Linked DNA regions of Tamandua tetradactyla. The protein of the gene in region 2 binds, or shares a complex with, the protein of the main gene of each other region. Links are inferred from orthologs where the notes say so. Each region holds a gene or a part of one and is shown on either strand. Other genes may lie near its edges.

What was found. The genes of interacting proteins can lie anywhere in the genome.
Region 1: MEAF6 (region 2) and JADE2 share a complex: the UniProt entries of both Homo sapiens proteins name them as parts of the HBO1 complex. The link is inferred for Tamandua tetradactyla from reciprocal best matches to the Homo sapiens genes MEAF6 and JADE2.

Annotation. Positions count from the first base shown.
Region 1 is NC_135346.1:13,591,039-13,599,795, forward strand, and holds the start of JADE2 (E3 ubiquitin-protein ligase Jade-2), read left to right. Parts: upstream 1-5,275; 5' UTR 5,276-5,380; intron 5,381-5,644; exon of another isoform or gene 5,645-5,679; intron 5,680-5,704; exon of another isoform or gene 5,705-6,090; intron 6,091-6,883; exon of another isoform or gene 6,884-6,992; intron 6,993-7,010; exon of another isoform or gene 7,011-7,280; intron 7,281-7,583; exon of another isoform or gene 7,584-7,768; intron 7,769-8,757. UniProt on the Homo sapiens protein: Scaffold subunit of some HBO1 complexes, which have a histone H4 acetyltransferase activity. Acts as an E3 ubiquitin-protein ligase mediating the ubiquitination and subsequent proteasomal degradation of target protein histone demethylase KDM1A.
Region 2 is NC_135328.1:187,800,473-187,808,183, forward strand, and holds the start of MEAF6 (chromatin modification-related protein MEAF6), read left to right. Parts: upstream 1-4,415; 5' UTR 4,416-4,490; coding exon 4,491-4,580; intron 4,581-5,352; exon of another isoform or gene 5,353-5,544; coding exon of another isoform or gene 5,545-5,607; intron 5,608-5,784; coding exon 5,785-5,900; intron 5,901-7,711.

The DNA.
Region 1 (8,757 bases), on a different chromosome or scaffold from region 2:
TCTGGAGCCCAGGAAGGAAAAGCTGCTGGATTTGTCCTCTCCTGACAACACCACATGATGTGTTTTGCACAGTGTTTGGCACATAGTAGGTGCCCAGGAAATATTTGCTGACCAACAGAATGAACGTCCATCCTCCCTCAAAGTAGCCCATCTAATGCCACTGACTAGGTGTGGGAGGGCAGCAAGGACTGGATCCCAGATATAGGAGACAGAAGGAAGCGTGAGCAAACCTCAGTTGTACCTGTGCAATCAATATGTCTTCAGATTGCTTCTCTAATTCCACCCTTCCCCTTCAGGATTCCCAGGAATTCCCTGGGAACCCTAAGGTTAGGGCAAGTGTTGTGACCCAATTTTCCTAACTGTTCAAACCTGTGCTATTTCAAGTGTGAGCAGTGGACCAGTAGCATCAGCATCATCTTGGAGCTTGTTAGAAATGCAGATTCTCAGGCCCCACCCCAGACCCACTATATCATAATCTGTACTTTAACGAGATCCCAGGTGAGGTATCTGCATGCCACCACTAGACAGGCACTGCCTTAAGCAGCCAACAAGTGAACATGGACGGGGAATCCGAATGCCGAATGAGGACTTCCCACCTGGCGCACTCAGTAAATATTCAGCGAATGAATATTAACCAAATCTCATGTGGGTTTCTCCATTTAGGGTGCTCAGGATATGCTGGACCTGTGCCTCTGGACACACACATCGAGCTGTTTGAAAGGCTTTTTGTTCCTCACAAGGGCTCCTGGAGGAGTGGCTATTGTCTACTGAGGGCCAGACCAGTGCTCAGTACCGTGTGGGCATGCTCTCAGTGTTTTACAAAGTGTGGTTCAAGGCCTAGGGCATCAAGAATGACCAGCTGCTGGTTAAAAATGCAGATTCCTGGGCCCTGCTCTGGACCTACCCCTTGAGAACCTTTGAAGATGAGATCCAGCAATCTGCATTTTAAACAAGCATCCCAGACAATTATTTCCAGTAATTTGGAAATGGTTGCATCTCTAGCTTACAGAAGAGGAAACCAAAGCACAGAGAGGTTAAGTAACTCATGCAAAGTCACAGAGCTGGTGAATGACAGAGACCAGATTCCAACCCAGGACTTCCTGGCCCTGGAATTCAGTCTTAAACGTAATGCCTACTACACTGGAAAAGCTGATGCCCAGACAGACTGTATATAATTAGCCCTATGCATTGCCTTGTGTGTATTTCAGGTGTCAAAGAGGTTTGGTAGACTGTGAACTCCTGTGAACTCTTGCAAGTCAGTGAATGTGTTTTATTTCTCACTGTATCCGTGGCATCCAGCACCGAGCCACCATGGGGAAGATCCTCAACAAAAGCTGTTTGAATTGAATTTCTACAGATTTTTGGTTATCCATCTTTACACACATTCACAAAGATATATACAAATGAAGGGCATTTTATTTTTAGGTAGCATCTTGGAACTAGCTAGTAACAAGTATAAACCTCCCCACTCTCTTGAACTCACTCCAATCAAGCTTTCGTCTGCACCACTCCACTGACACGACTCTTGTCAAGGTCACCAATGACATCCGCGTTGCTGAATCCGGTGAATTCTCAACCTTTCTCTTTCTGACTGCTTTGTAGCTTTGAACATAGGGCTTTCCTCCCTTTTGAAACTCTCTTTTCACTAGGACTTCCAGGACATCATATTCTTTGGACTTTCTTCCTAGCGATCTGGATGCTTTTTTAAAAAAAAAAACAAAACACAAAAACATCTTTGCTGATTCCTCGTCATTTCCCAGACCTCTTAACCTTGCAGTGTCCAAAGGCATCATCGCTGGGCTTCTTCTCTGTCTACCCTCACTTCTTTGGTGATCTCAGATAGCATGAAATACCATCCATCTGCTGACCACTCTCTTTAGCCCTGAGCTGAGACTGCCCGGTCTAGCTGTCTATGGAATGGCAGCACTTAAATGCTAACAGGCATCTCAATCTTAACATGTCCAAGGCTGAGCTCTTCAGCCTCCCCCCAAAGCCTACTCCTTTCACATCTCCCCCATATCAGTTCACGGCAACTCGATTCTTCCACTGGTTCAAGGCAAAACCCTTGAAGTCATCTTCAACTTCTTTCCCTCTCTCATACCCCACAGCTAATCCATCAGTAAATCTTGATAGAGTTACCTTTAAAATACATACAGATGTCAACTTCTTATCACTTTCACTGCTACCCCCTGATGATCCATCTTAAGCACATCTCTTACCTGGTGTGTTGAAGTGACCTCTTAACTGGTCTTCCTGCCAATATCCTGGCCCCTTCGGTCTGTCTGCTACACAGCAGCCAGAGTGACCTGTAAAACCCAGTACCTCAGGTCATGTCGCTGTTCTGCTTAAAACTCTCCAGTGCTTCCTGTCTCAATTCCAGCAAAAAGCTAAATTCCTAACCACTCCCTACAAGGCCCTAGATAACTCTTCCTTATGCATATTAAGCACCTTAATGCCTCGGGGCATTTGTGTTTGCTGGTCTCTTTGCAGTGACAGTGGTTCTCAACCATCTTTGGTGCCATGGACTCCTCCTCTGGCTTCTGTGAAGGCTGTGGACAACTGAGTACAATAATTGTTAATCCTTACAATAAGTTACATAAATTACAAAGAAAATCAATTATATTGAAAATCACTCTCAAAATATTTTTAAATGTACTATATAGTAATACATACGCTTCTTAATTCATTTAAATTACAAGACATAGCAGCCTAATTTTGAAATAGCGGTGAGTGTAATGATATTTTCAGATAGCCGCAACAACTGTAATGTGATATAAAAATATCTGATTTCTACTAGCAACAGCGTCACAGTTGCTAACACCACTGTGATTTGTTTCTGAATTCATAATTGAAAATTATGCTAAATTACATTTTTTTCCCATCTAAGGTCAAGAACCCCTGAATTTTATCCAGAGATCTCTTAAAGGACTTCTTAGACCTCTTAAGAATCCAGGTTAAGAACCCCTGACTAGAATGATCTTTCCCCATTAACCCTTACTGCTCACTCCTTTACCTTCTTTTGCTCAAAAGCCACATCTCAGTGAGGTCTCCCTAAGGAACTGCTATCTCCCTATCACCCAATTCTACTTAATTTTCTCCATGGCACCTACCTTCAAACACAGAGTATATACATTATGTATCTCCTTCCACTAGAAAGTAAGTCCCATGAGATCAGAGCAAGGATTTTTATCTGTCTGTTTTGTTCGTGCCGTGTGCCCTCAGCAAGCAGAAGAGTACCGGGCGTACGGGAGGCACTCAATAAATATATGTGAGTCAACAAATGATTACATCTCCAAGAACTCTGTTTCTTTTCTTTTCGTATTCTGCAAAGTTAATGATTTATGAAACTTTTAATAAAGATTAAGTAGTTATAAATTAGCTTCATCATTATCATTATGTTAACATTTCTAAGGTTAATGAGAACCCAAGGGTCCTGATGGGATTTCCAGACTTAAACCACAGGTATCTCCCAAGGACCCTTCACGGGATGGAGGGCTCACCCAAGCTTAGAGAACCACCTCAGGGTCAAAATGCAGCCAGTAAAATCCTGCTCTCTTTGCCAAATCAGGCCTCAACCGGAGTCAAACCAATCATACCAGTACTTTCTATTTCTGGCAGGGTAGTAAAATGAGAGCCGCACAGATCTTGGGGTCAGGTAGATCTAGGTGCCAATTCTGCCAACACTTACAAGCCATGGGACCGTTGGTAAGTTACTACACCTTGGTGAACAGCTAAGAAGGGGGGTTTGCCAGCACAAAGCAGGCGCTCTAGAAATGGTGACCCCCTCCTCTAGGTCATTTTATAATTGCCTACTAAGGTATTTCCCCATTTTAGATCATGGGATCCTGACACCTGGGAGCAGACAGCCTGACTTGTCCTCTCCTACATACAAATCCTTCGGAGCCAGGCCCAAGCAGAGCAGATCCCCGGGACTGGGCTGCTGTAAATTGGTGACCCCCAACTCCAGTGTGGCTGAGAGTGCTGCCTGGACCTTGACCATCAAGGCCACTGTCCATTATGTTTTTTTATCCTGGCCCTCCCTTTTGTGTGTTGACAGAAATAATCGTCCCCCAGTTTTTCAGAGTTAAGAGTTTTGGGAGAGCACATTAACCTTTCCAAACAGCATACAGTAGATGGGGGAGTGGGCTGCTTACTGCACACGTGTGCTCTGAGCCAGGCCCTGTTTACCTGCATGTGCCTGCACATGTACACACACACACGTCCAAATGCACATGTACACACACACGTCCACACGGACGTATGACCTCAGGAACCCACAACTGCCCCCTTCTACAGATGAAGAAGAAGAGAACTAGAAAGATGAACTCACTTGCCCATACCACACAGCTTCTGAGAGGCAGAGCCAGGACTAGAATCCAAGAATTTAACCATTTTGTTACTGCACCACAGCCCATGACACCTGTTTTGCAGGCCCTGACCTAGGCTTGGGAAAATCCTATCCACTGATCATGGAGAGCCAGAGCCAGGTGATGGTTAGTCCACCTGCCCCTAGTCTTGCCGGATAAGCTCCCGCACCTCCCACACCCCATCTTGTGAATGAAGGCCAAGGAGGAGAAGTGTTGCAGGGACTCCCTTTGAGATCATAGTTCTTTCTGGTTGCAAAAAGTGCTTATTTCAGCATTTTTAATCATCTCCCTCTTTGTTGTGTAAACAATCCTCTCTGTCAGAGGATTTGTGCTGTTATTACGAGTTTGTTTATTATTAGATTTATTTCTCCTATAAGCAAATGTGTTCACAATATTCCATCGGGGAATCTTCTTAATTGTCACATAAATGTCATGTTATGTAAATTGAATATTTATCTTTCCTTGGAAGGGGGTGGAGGGGAAAGAAAGAATAAACAATCTTCAGTCTTGGAGAGATAAGGTGGTTCCTGAGCCACTTCTCAGTTTACCCTGGTGCCATAGGTGAACTGCCAAAGGTGAACCGGGAAAAAAAAAAGATTGGATCATCTCTGAGGGGCTGCCAAGAAGGACGTGGGATGGGGGGGGGGGAAGAAAAAGTTGGCAGTGATGCTTTGGAGATGTTGGCCCCAGCTCCTAGGTCTCCCTCCTCCTCTGCCCTGCCCAAGGCCACACCACAGACTACCTCGTCCACGGCTGTGGGCATCCGCGGGAGGATGCAACTGCCCCCACCCCACCTCCCTAGTGCCCATCCCGGAGGCCAACCTTTCTCCTTCCTCGAGAGAAGGTGAGCGCGGCGGGCGCAGCGGCCCGGGTGGGTGTGGCCCGCGGCTCCGGGATCGGCCCCCAGGCCCCGCCACCGCCCCGCAGCCGCCCGCCAGCCCGCCTGCCCGGCGATCGCAGGCTCTTCTTCCAGAAACTGCGAGGATCCGAGCGCACTGTTTGTGCACCACAAGGTCAAGTCGGGAACTGGAGCCGGAGGAGGAGGGGCGAGGAGGCGAAGGGTGGGGAGAGGGGCGCCCTGCTTCCTCGCCAAGTGCCAGCCCTTGGAAGTTGCCCCTCGTTTTTTAACCCTTTCGGAGCCTCGGGGAACGGGGTGGTGAACTAGGGAGACGGGGTTACTCCGGGGCAAATGCAAACTCCCACGGGGGTCAGGATGTGCAGCCACCCACCCACCCATCACCGCCTTCCCCACCCCACCCCACCCCCCGGAAATGCGGGGCAGCGCCGGGCGCCAGGAGACACCCGAGCGGGGGTAAGGGGCGGCGAGCCGGCGAGGGACCCTCTCTACCGACCGCCCCTCCTTTTTTTGAGGTCGCCTACAATTTCAAGTTTCCCCCCGCCGGGGACGTTAGTTTCCATCTGGCGTGGGTGGGGGAGGAGGGCCGCGCCCCCTCCCCCAGACTCGCGCGCGCCCCTCCCCTCCGCTCCTGCTAGCACTTTCTGCTCACTTCTAGCGCTGGGCTGGGAAACGCCACGCGATTTATTCAATTCGCATTTTAAAACCAGTGATTCCAGAGTAAGGCCTAGGGCGAGGGGCTTCTAGCGCTGGAGCCCTGGGGGGCGGGTGCTCAGTGCAAACCTCGTTCCCTCCGCGAGCGTCGCCTCCAGGCTGTTATTTGCGAAGAAACGTCTTTTTGACGCAGGGAGAAATGGCAAATTTTAAGTACGTCATTAATATGGCGCCAAAAGATTTTTTTAAGTATAAGCTTGCTTCTTTTTTTTTTTTAAGGTTGCGGGGGGCGCCGCCCGGGTCTGGGGAGCGAAGGGGGCGGGGTGTGAGCAGAAAGTGTGAGTGAGAGAGTGGAGGGGCGGAGTATGTGTGTGAGTGTGTGAAGTGTGAGCAGACCTGATGGGACTTGCACGGGCGCAGCCGCCGCTCAGGCCCGGCCCTGGGGACAGGGCGGGCTGGGGGCGCCCCCGAGCCGGTGGGGAGCCCGAGCCCGGGGTGTCGGTAGGCGGGCGGCTCGACAGGGCACCCTCCCTGCGGGGCCCGCAACGCTACCTGGATGCACCGCGGGAGCCAAACAACTGGGTGTGGGGGGGTACGGGGGGGGGGGGTGTCGGACGACAGGAGTGTCAAGAGCGGAGATCGGAGTGAATAAGAAAAAAAGTGGCTACTCCCCCACCCTCGCTCCTCCCGCCCGCCCCTACCCCCACCCCCACCCCCACCTCAACACATTTTTTTTTTTTTCTAAAGAGATCACAAGGAAGTCTTGGTTTAAAAAGAAACAGAAACATACACAGGGGGTTGGTAAATGGTGCCGACCGCGGCCATCGCAGTTGGAGGCTATTTGGAGGTGGTGGGGGGAAGCGAGTAGCGTCCATGGAGTTACTTTGCGCCCACTCCTAGCCGCGCCCGCTGGGGTCTCGCGGGTTGATCGTCCGTGGCTGGGGAGGCCGCGGGCCCGGCTCCCTCCCTCGCCGCGACCCCGGATGGATGCGCGCCCCCCGCCCTTCCGCGCCGGCCCCAGGAGCTCCGGGTTTCGGGAGCATCCTTTCCGCGCCGGCCCCCGCTGTGGCGCGTAGCCGAGGGCAGCGCCCCTCGGGAGGGCACAGCGGAGCAAGGTAAGATCCACCCTCCAGTGGAAGGGCCCTGCGCATCTCTACGGCATTATTTTGTGTTTTTGCAACAGATCTGCCAGCGCTTCTCGCTCCCTCGCTCTCTCTTGCTCACTCGCTCCCTCTCCTGCTGGCTGCCTGTTCTAGGAAGCCAGCGCCGGGGGGCGGGGGGTAGGGGGGGTGGTGAGATGCACAGCACTGGGGAGAGAGATTGCGCATGTTGGTCAGTCGTGTTTTAAAGAGTACAGTGCGGGGAGGCTGAGAGGGGCGCATGCAACAACAACTTTTGGAAGGGTGAGCTTGGCGACCTTCTTTATTAATGACTGCGGCAAAGCGCCCCCGGACCGGCGAGGGGGCGCGGGCGGGCGGGGGCGCGCCGGTGCTGCAACTTGCCCCGCGGCTCGGGCCGGGAGCAGGGGCTGCGGTGGGTAAAGGGTGCGGGGGTGGGGGGCGGCTGTCGACTGCCCCCCGGGGGGGGGGGGCGCTGCTCAGGACCTGGAGCTATCTGCCCTCCTGTCGCCCCGAGTTTCATTTTGTTGATACGCAGCACGTCCGGGCGCCGAACCGGGCTGAGCTGGTGCACATGACCCCGCACTGGGCTCACGTGCAGCTAGTCCGGCCCCAGACACCTTCCGGAGGCCACCGCCTCCGCTCTCTCGCCCCCTCTCCGGGCTGGGTGCACGCGGGAGCTGCACGCGGGGGCAGCATGCTTGGCTCCCGGGCGCCGAGGCTCTGCACAAATTAAGACAGTTTTTTGGATATGCGGGAGACGCTCTTTCCAGGTGAGTGGGGGGAAGTGCACGGCCCCGGCGCCGAGGCGCGGGCTGGAGTTGGGGGCAACCACCCCTCCGGGGCTGCGCGGGAGTCCGGCGGGGTAGAGGCGCTGGGAGAGTGGAAATGTACCGGCGGCTGCTGGGGCGGCGGGTGCGCGCCCGCGGGGCGACGGCAGGGGGCGTGGCCGTTGTTTACCTTCTCCCAACTCTGCCGGTTCGCGTCCCGCTCCGGGGACGGCTCCGCAGTCCCTCTGCTCTCCGCCTCCCCCCCGGCGCCCAGGGTGGTACCGGGAAGATGTAGGCGCGTGGCGGCCCCTGCCTGGGACGCACACACCTGACCCCCACATGAGTGACATTGCAGCCCCCGCCCCCACCAAAACCGCTGCAGTCCCTCTGCCGGATCACCGGCCCCGCCCCGCCCCCGGCAGTGGCATCTTCCCAGCCTCACCTCCTTCCTCCCTTTCTCCCTCCCTCCTTCCCACCCACTCGCCTGCGCCTGCGGAGCGGCTCCCGCCCGCCTCCTCCCCTCCTGGGTGCAGACTTGTGGCTCCCTCCGGTCCCTTCCCGCCCATACTGGGCCCTGAGACACCCCCTTCTCTCGGCCGAGGGATGGGAGGCGGGGGGCTGCCTGGCGAGGCGTAGTTGTTCTGCCAGACGATGGGGATGTCTGCGAGATGGGCAGGAAGGCTCCGCTCGAGCTTCCAGAGGCCCAGGACCCACCCCCTCCCCGAACCTTACCACCTCTCCTGTATACAGCTGCCCAACCCGCAAAGGGTCCAGCTGCCTTTCCCTGCATCCCCTAAACCTCTCCCCTCCCGGTGTCACGCCCATTGCCCGGCGCTGTCCCGGGCCCGAACCGCCTCCTGCCCTTCCTTCGCCGGGCCCGCGCCCCCCGCAGCCACCTCCGGCTCCTCCTCCCGGCTCCCGCGGTCGGAATCACGCCCGCGCGCCTCCAGCCTGCGGTCCCGCCGACTGCCTCCAGGGGCAGAGTGGAGGCG
Region 2 (7,711 bases):
TTTATTCCATATGTTTTACTCATCTGTTGATAAGGTAGATAAAAGGAGCATCAGACACAAGGTTTTCACAATCACACAGTCACATTGCGAAGCTGTATCATACAATCATCTTCAAGAAACATGGGTACTGGAACACAGCTCTACATTTTCAGGCAGTTCCCTCCAGCCTCTCCATTACATCTTTTTTTTTTTTATTAATTAAAAAAAATTTTTTAATGCCAAAAAATACCAAACAAATGCAAACATTCTTAACTTTTGATCATTCCATTCTACATATATAATCAGTAATTCACAATATCATCACATAGTTGCATACTCATCATCATGACCATTTCTTGGAATCTCTATTACATCTTGACTAACAAGGTGATATCTATTTAATGCATAAGAATAATCTTCAGGATAATCTCTCGACTCTGTTTGGAATCTCTCAGCCATTGACACTTTATTTTGTCTCATTTCACTCTTCCCCCTTTGGTCGCGAAGGTTTTCTCAATCCCTTGATGCTGAGTCTCAGCTCATTCTAGGATTTCTGTCCCACGTTGCCAGGAAGGTCCACACCCCTGGGAGTCATGTCCCACATAGACAGGAGGAGGGCAGTGAGTTGGCTTGTTATATTGGCTGGAGAGAGAGGCCACATCTGAGCAAAAAAAGAGGTTCTCTTGGGGGGGACTCTTTGTCCTAATTTTAAGTAGGCTTGACCTATCCTTTGTGGGGTTTAGTTTCATAGGAACAACCCCCAAGACTGGGGGCTCAGCCTATAGCTTTGGTTGTCCCCATTGCTTGTGAGAATATCAAGAATTCAACTTGGGGAAGTTGAATTTTCCCCCTTTCTCACTATTCCCCAAAGGGGACTTTGCAGATACTTTTTTATTCACTGTTCAAATCACTCTGGGATTTATTGGGGCATCGTTCTGGACAAACCAACAAAATCTCGTGCCCTACTCAAGGTTCCATGTGCTTATCGTGTTCAATTAAGCTATCTACATAAGTTACATTAGGAAATGCACTAGTCAAAATATAAATTTTGCACCAAATAAACATTTTTTGCTTTAGTCTCATACATAAGTTAAAAATTTTAAATATTAATTACCATCTATTTTCAGCACCCTGCAGTAATGACATTCCTTTGTTCTTCCTCATGCAAAAACATTTTTAAATTTGTACATTTAGTCACTATCATTATACACTCTAGGCATTCCTAGATTATACCATCTCAGTATTTTTTTTAATTTTATTTTTTTAAATACCAAAAGACACCAAACAAACGCAAATATTCCCACTCTGATCGCTCCACACACACAGTCGGCAATCCACAATATCATCACCATCTCAGTCTTTATTGTCTATCTTTCTTTCTGATTTCATTTGTTGAGCCAGGTAGTTATGATTTCAGTTTGTACTCTTAACCAGACACGTACTTGTCTGTCTAAGGCCTTATAACCATGGTAGCAACATCAAATTTGTTTTTGGAAGACCACCCCAGCACCATTATGGATAATGGGTTAAAAGAAGTCTGAAAGCGGAAATAAAGAGGCTGTTGGAATAAAGTAGTCAAAATAGGGCAACAACAACTTGGCAGATGAACTCACTGATCTCCCTGCTATGTGAGATATGACTTCCAGGGGCCTAAATCTCCCCGGCAACGTGGGACATAACTCCTGGGGATGAACTGTGACTGGCATCATGGGATTGAGAAAACCTTGACCAAAACAGGGAAGACAGAAATGAGACAAAACAGTTTCAGCGGCTGAGGGATTTCAAACAGGGTTTAGAGTTTATCCTGGAGGTTATTCTTACACAACATATAGATACTGTTTTTAGTTTATGGTGTATTGGAGTGGCTAGAGGGAAGTACCTGAAACTCTTGAACTGTATTCCAGTAGCCTTGATTCTTTTTTTTTCCCTCTTTTTTGGATTTTAAAAAAGGAGTTTGTTAAGTTGCAAGTTTACAATTCTAAGCTGTGAAAATGTCCAAACTAAGGCATCCAGGGAAAGATACTCTGATTCAAGAAAGGCCAATGGGTCCAGAACACCTCTGTCAGCTGGGAAGGCACATGGCAATGTCCGCTAGCTTTGTCTCCTGTCTTCTCATTTCATAAGGCTTCCCTGGGTATGTTCTCCTTCTGCTCCAAAGGTCTGTGGTTGTGTGGGCTGTCTCAGCTCTAAGGCTTTTTCCAAACTTTTTTTTCCCTTTTCTTTTTTTAACAACTCTTCACACACATACATTCCATACATGGTGTACAATCAATGGCTCACAATATCATCACATAGTTGTGTATTCATCACCATGATCATTTTTTTTAGAACATTTACATCATTTCAGAAAAACATATAAAAAGAAAAAACTCATACATACCATACTCCTCACCCCTCCCTCACTGACCACTAGTATTTCCATCTACTCAATTTATTTTACCCTTTGTCCACATCCCCATTATTTATTTATTTTTATCCATATATATTTTTTCACTCATCTGTCCATACCCTGAATAAAAGGAGTATCAGACACAGGTTTTCACAATCACAGCATTACATTGTAAAATTTGTATCTTTATACATTTGTCTTCAAGAATCAAGGCTACTGGAACACAGCTCAACAGTTTCAGGTAGTTCCCTGCAGCCACTCCAATACATCATAAAGTAAAAAGGGATAACTATATAATGCATAAAAATAACCTTCAGGGTAACCTCTTGAGTCTGTTTAAAATCTCTCAGCCACTGGCACTTTGTTTCATTTCTCTTTTCCCCTTTTGGTCAAGAATGTTTTCTCAATCACTTGATGCCAGCCAGGGAGATTTATACCCCTGCAAGTCATGTCCCATGGGGGATGGAGGGCAGTGAGTTCACCTGCTGAGCTGGCTTAGAGAGAGAGGCCACATTTGAGCAACAAAAGAGGTTCTCTGGGAGGTGACTCTTAGGCCTAATTTTAAGTAAGCTTAGCCGATCCTTTGCTGGAATAAGTTTCATGGGGGCAAACCCCCAAATCAAGGGCTCAGCCTATTGATTTGGTTGTCCCCACTGCTTACACAGAAGTTGAAGTTTTAAAATATGTAGGATGTCATCCTTACCCTGTGTTCTGATCTACCTTAGTCCTATCTAGATCAGCTTCATTCACCTCTCTACTCAAAGTCTGATTACTTTTTCAACTTTTTAAACAGTTCCTATACGGGGTACTGCTGACTTTCATAGCTTCATAGCTCTAACTCTTTGAGTCGCAGGTGTCACATAAATACCTGAAGTTTCTGGGAACAACCAGGTTACAAACAAACAGCTCAGGATCTCAGAATTTAGAAATAGCTGTTACAACTCCTGAATATATGTGACTACTGCAAGAGCTTACAATCTGGGACCCTTTACAATAGGCCCCAACCTGATAACCTATGTTCTTGACTTTAGTTCACCAAGTTTTTATATTATAGTCCATATGACTGAGACATAATATTTGTCTTTTTGTTCCTGACATTTCATTAAATATCATACACCTAGTTGCATGCCTCACAAGTCATTACAGCAGCCTTGATTCTTGAAGACAAATGTATAACTGTATAGCTTTCACAATGTGACTGTGTGATTGTGAAAACCTTGTGGCTGACACTCCCTTTATCCAAGGTACGGACAGATGAATTAAAAACAAACAAACAAAAAAAACAGGGTAGTGGCAGAGTTCTGGCCTGTCATGACGGAGACCCGGGTTCGTTTTCCGGTGTCTTCCCTTGTAAAAATAAATAAATAAATAAATAAATAAATAAATAAATAAATACACAAAATAATAAATAATAGGGGGTGGGAAAGGAGTAAAAAAATTGGGGTAGATTGCAAACTAGTGCTGAATGAGAGGGAGGGGTAAAGGATATGGAATGTATGGAGTTTTTATTTTGACTTTCTTTTTTCTGGAATGATGCAAATGTTCCAAAAATGATCATGGTATTGAATACACAAATATGTGATGATATCGTCATACCAAATTGTATACTTGGGATGGACTGTGTGGTGCCTGAAGGTATCTCAATAAAATATTTTTTAAAAATAGGGCAAGAAGGAAAGCAGCAGAGGGGATGGACAGAAGCAAACAGTTTAAGAGCTCTTCTGGAGTTGCGTCCACAGGGCTTGGAAATGGGATTAGGTTAAAGGGGTGAGGGAGAGTGAGGGTGATCCCAGGTTTTTGATTTAGGCAACTGGGAAGGATAATGAAAATTATTCACCGAAGAAGAGACTGCGGAAGTTTAAGGAAGAGCCTGTTTGGGGGCATGGTGAGTTTGTGATATCTGCAAAGGCCAGCCGTCAATCTAGGAGCAGAACACCAGACGAGTGGGATTCTCTCAGCAGGGCCAGCGAGAACCAAATGCCAGAACGCGGCTGGACGAGCGGCTCCGGAAGCCGCGCGCGCAGGCGCAGGGCGGCGGCGGGGCGCCCCCTCGCGGACCCGCGACAGCGCGCAGGGACCGCCCCTAGCTTCGCGCCGCCGCCGCCGCCCGCCTTAGCCCAACATGGCGATGCACAACAAGGCGGCGCCTCCTCAGATCCCCGACACCCGGCGGGAGCTGGCCGAGCTCGTGAAACGGAAGCAGGAGCTGGCGGTGAGCGTCGGGGGCCGGGGGCGCCCAGGTCGGGGCTCCGCTCCAACCCCCTCCCCCGGGCGCCAGCCCGGCGGCGTCTGGCCGTTACTCCGGGGGCGCAGCGGCGGGCTGGGACGCCGGCGGCCTGAGACCCGGCTGCCATTCCGTGGCCCGCGGCCGCCTCTGCTTTCCGGTTGTTCGGGTTCGGAGCTGGGACCCGGGGCCGGGCCTCGGGCCGGGGGGCGGGGCGCGGGAGCCGGGGAGAAGGAGGGGTTGGAGAAAGGAGGGGCGTGGAGGAAGGAAGGCGCCTTTGGGGAGGGGGCGGGCTGTGTGTGGGCGCTGTAGAAAGGGCGAGTGTGTGTGAGCCTGGGGAGTGGGGACGGGCGTGTCCGTGGCCCTTGGGGGTGGGTGAGGGCGGACGTGTACGCGATCTTGGAGGGGTGAAGGTAGGCGGGCGTGTCCATGGGCTGTGTGTGTGGGGGGGCGGGGGGCTCAGATTTGCCCCTGGATTTTGGGGAGGTGGGGTACGAGGAGGGTGTGGGAAGGGGATACTGTCTGACCTTTGGAGGATGGTCGGGGGTTCTGTCCTTTTGGGGACTAGGAGTAGATTCGTTGGATGGGGTATTGCACATCTAGAAGGTGACAGGCGAGGGGAGAGGACTCGGTCTATGGAGCTGGCAGTTGTGACGTGCACCCAGGGTCCTGTGCACCTTGGAGACTGACTGCTCTCCCCTCCCGTGTTTTGGTTTGGGCGTCCGGGAGGCCCGTATCACCTGAACCTATCCTTCCAAGTTTCCATAGCAACTGGCAGCCCAATGCTGGCAGCCTTTCTGAGTCAACCTGGAGGGAAGCGAGTAGGCTCAGGAAGACTGCCCACTCTTCCCTCTCCCTGGTGGCGAGACCTTTTGTGCGTGGTAGTGAAGGCTGCCCACGTTCTGCTTCAGCCCGGGTCCATGAACCTTCTGAAATATATGCGGATTTTTACATGTGTATGCGTTTTTTACTGAGGACTGACTCTACATTCTCAAGGGGTCGTTATGTCCAAAAGGTCAAGACTGCCCTCATCCTGAAAAGCCTGCCCCTCTCCATTATCATCAGTCTCTCCACAAGGGTGGTTTAGTGTGCTTGAGCACAGATCTTTGTCTCATATCCAGATTTCAGTTTGGGCAGACTTAATGTTTGCATTTAACAGGCATTATCCGTGTCCATGTTTTTCATCTCCCAGGAAACATTGGCAAACCTGGAGAGACAGATCTATGCTTTTGAAGGGAGCTACCTGGAAGACACTCAGATGTATGGCAATATTATTCGCGGCTGGGATCGATATCTGACCAACCAAAAGTGAGTGTCAGAAGCCTGTCGTGTTCTGCGGTGTTCTCTACTAATATTTGTTTTTAGAACTATATGTTTCTTTGGTACAACTTTATAGCGAGGCAGTAAAATGGTGGCAATAGAAAGAGGTTTGGGCTTGAATTGGACTCTGGCTCAACCACTCACTCCTTGAGTACCTTGGGCACATCCTACATTCATGGAATAGGGGCAAGGTGGAGGTATCACACAGGGTTGTGAGAGGTTTAAATGAAATACAGTATATGAAAATACCTTATACGAAAACACTGCGTTAGTGTTTTCCACATTTTAATCAGTCATGAGTTTTACCCTCACGATTTTTGCCATACCTGTGAGTCAATTATACCACTATTTATTTAATAATATTCTTTAAGACTTTCCAAAATGTTCAAATCAGTAAAAAAATTAAAGGACTAGTATATGAACACTAGATACTTATCTACATTCACCAATAGTGACGTGTTGCCACATTTGCTTTCTCTTTTCTAATACATATAAAGATGTATATATCTATACTTTTAAAAATGTATGTATTTTATTTTGAAATAATCACAGTCACAGGAACTTGCAAAAATAGTAGAGAGAGGTTCTGTGTACCCTTCACCAAGTTTTCACCAATGGTTGTGTTTTAAATAACTGTTGTAAAGTGTCAAACCAGTAAATTGACATTTGTACACATTTGTGTGTATAGTTCTATGCCATTTTATCACATATGTAGATTCATGTAACTACCAAAACAACTGAGATACAGAACTATTCTGTGACCGCAAAGATCTCCCTCAGGCTACCCCTTTATAGTCGTACCTCCCTCTCCTCCCAGTGCTTTTTTTTTTTTTTTTTTTTTTTGCTAAACCTTTTGAAAGTTAGATGCAGATGTCCTGACACTTTGCCTCTAAATATATCAGCATGTATCTCCTAAGAATAAGAACATTTCTCCTACCTAACCACAGTTATCACACTTAGAGAGTTGACATTGCAATAGTAGCATCATCTAATATACTTTTCAAATTTCCCCAGTTGTCAAAGAGAAAAAAAAAAGCCTTGCTGATTTGTTTTGTTTGATCCAGGATCCAGTCTGTGTTTGTGCATTGCATCTGTTTGTTGTGTCTTTTTAGTCTCTTTTAATTTAGGAGAGTCTCCCATCCTTTTTTTTTGTTGTTGTTGTTGTTGTTTATCACATAGTGTTGTAGAATGTACCACATTCCAGGTTTTTCTTTTTGTAGTCTCATAAAACTCATAAAGAGGATACATATTTTTGGAAAAAATCCTACATAAATGATGTTGCATACCCCTTGTTATATACCCATTTTTATATCAGGAGGCACATATAATCATATTGTCCCACTCTTGGTGCTGCTAAATTTCATTTCTCAGTTGTAAAAGTTCATTTTTTTTCTGTTTGTAATTAACAAGTAATTTGGAGGGTTATACTTTTAGGTAGTGTGAATATACTACTTCCTCCATACTTTTATTCAATGGTTTTAGTGTTCATGGTTGATTTTATCTTAGTTGTTATACTGGGGGTTGCAAAATGGTGATGTTCTAATTTTATTATTCCTTTTTTATTTATTACTGGCATTCTGAAAGAAGAGCCTTCTCTCTCTATTTTCCCTCCCTTTCATTCATTCTTTTTCTTTATCTCTTTCTTGTATTACTGTGGACATAAGGATTTAAAAAAATAAATCAGTGTGTTGGGATCTAGTACTGTCACTTTTTTTTGAAGATTCTAGGGGTTTATTCTATTTATTTAGTAAATTTTTAAAATTGAAATATTTGCAGAGAAGTGCACAAATCATAAATGT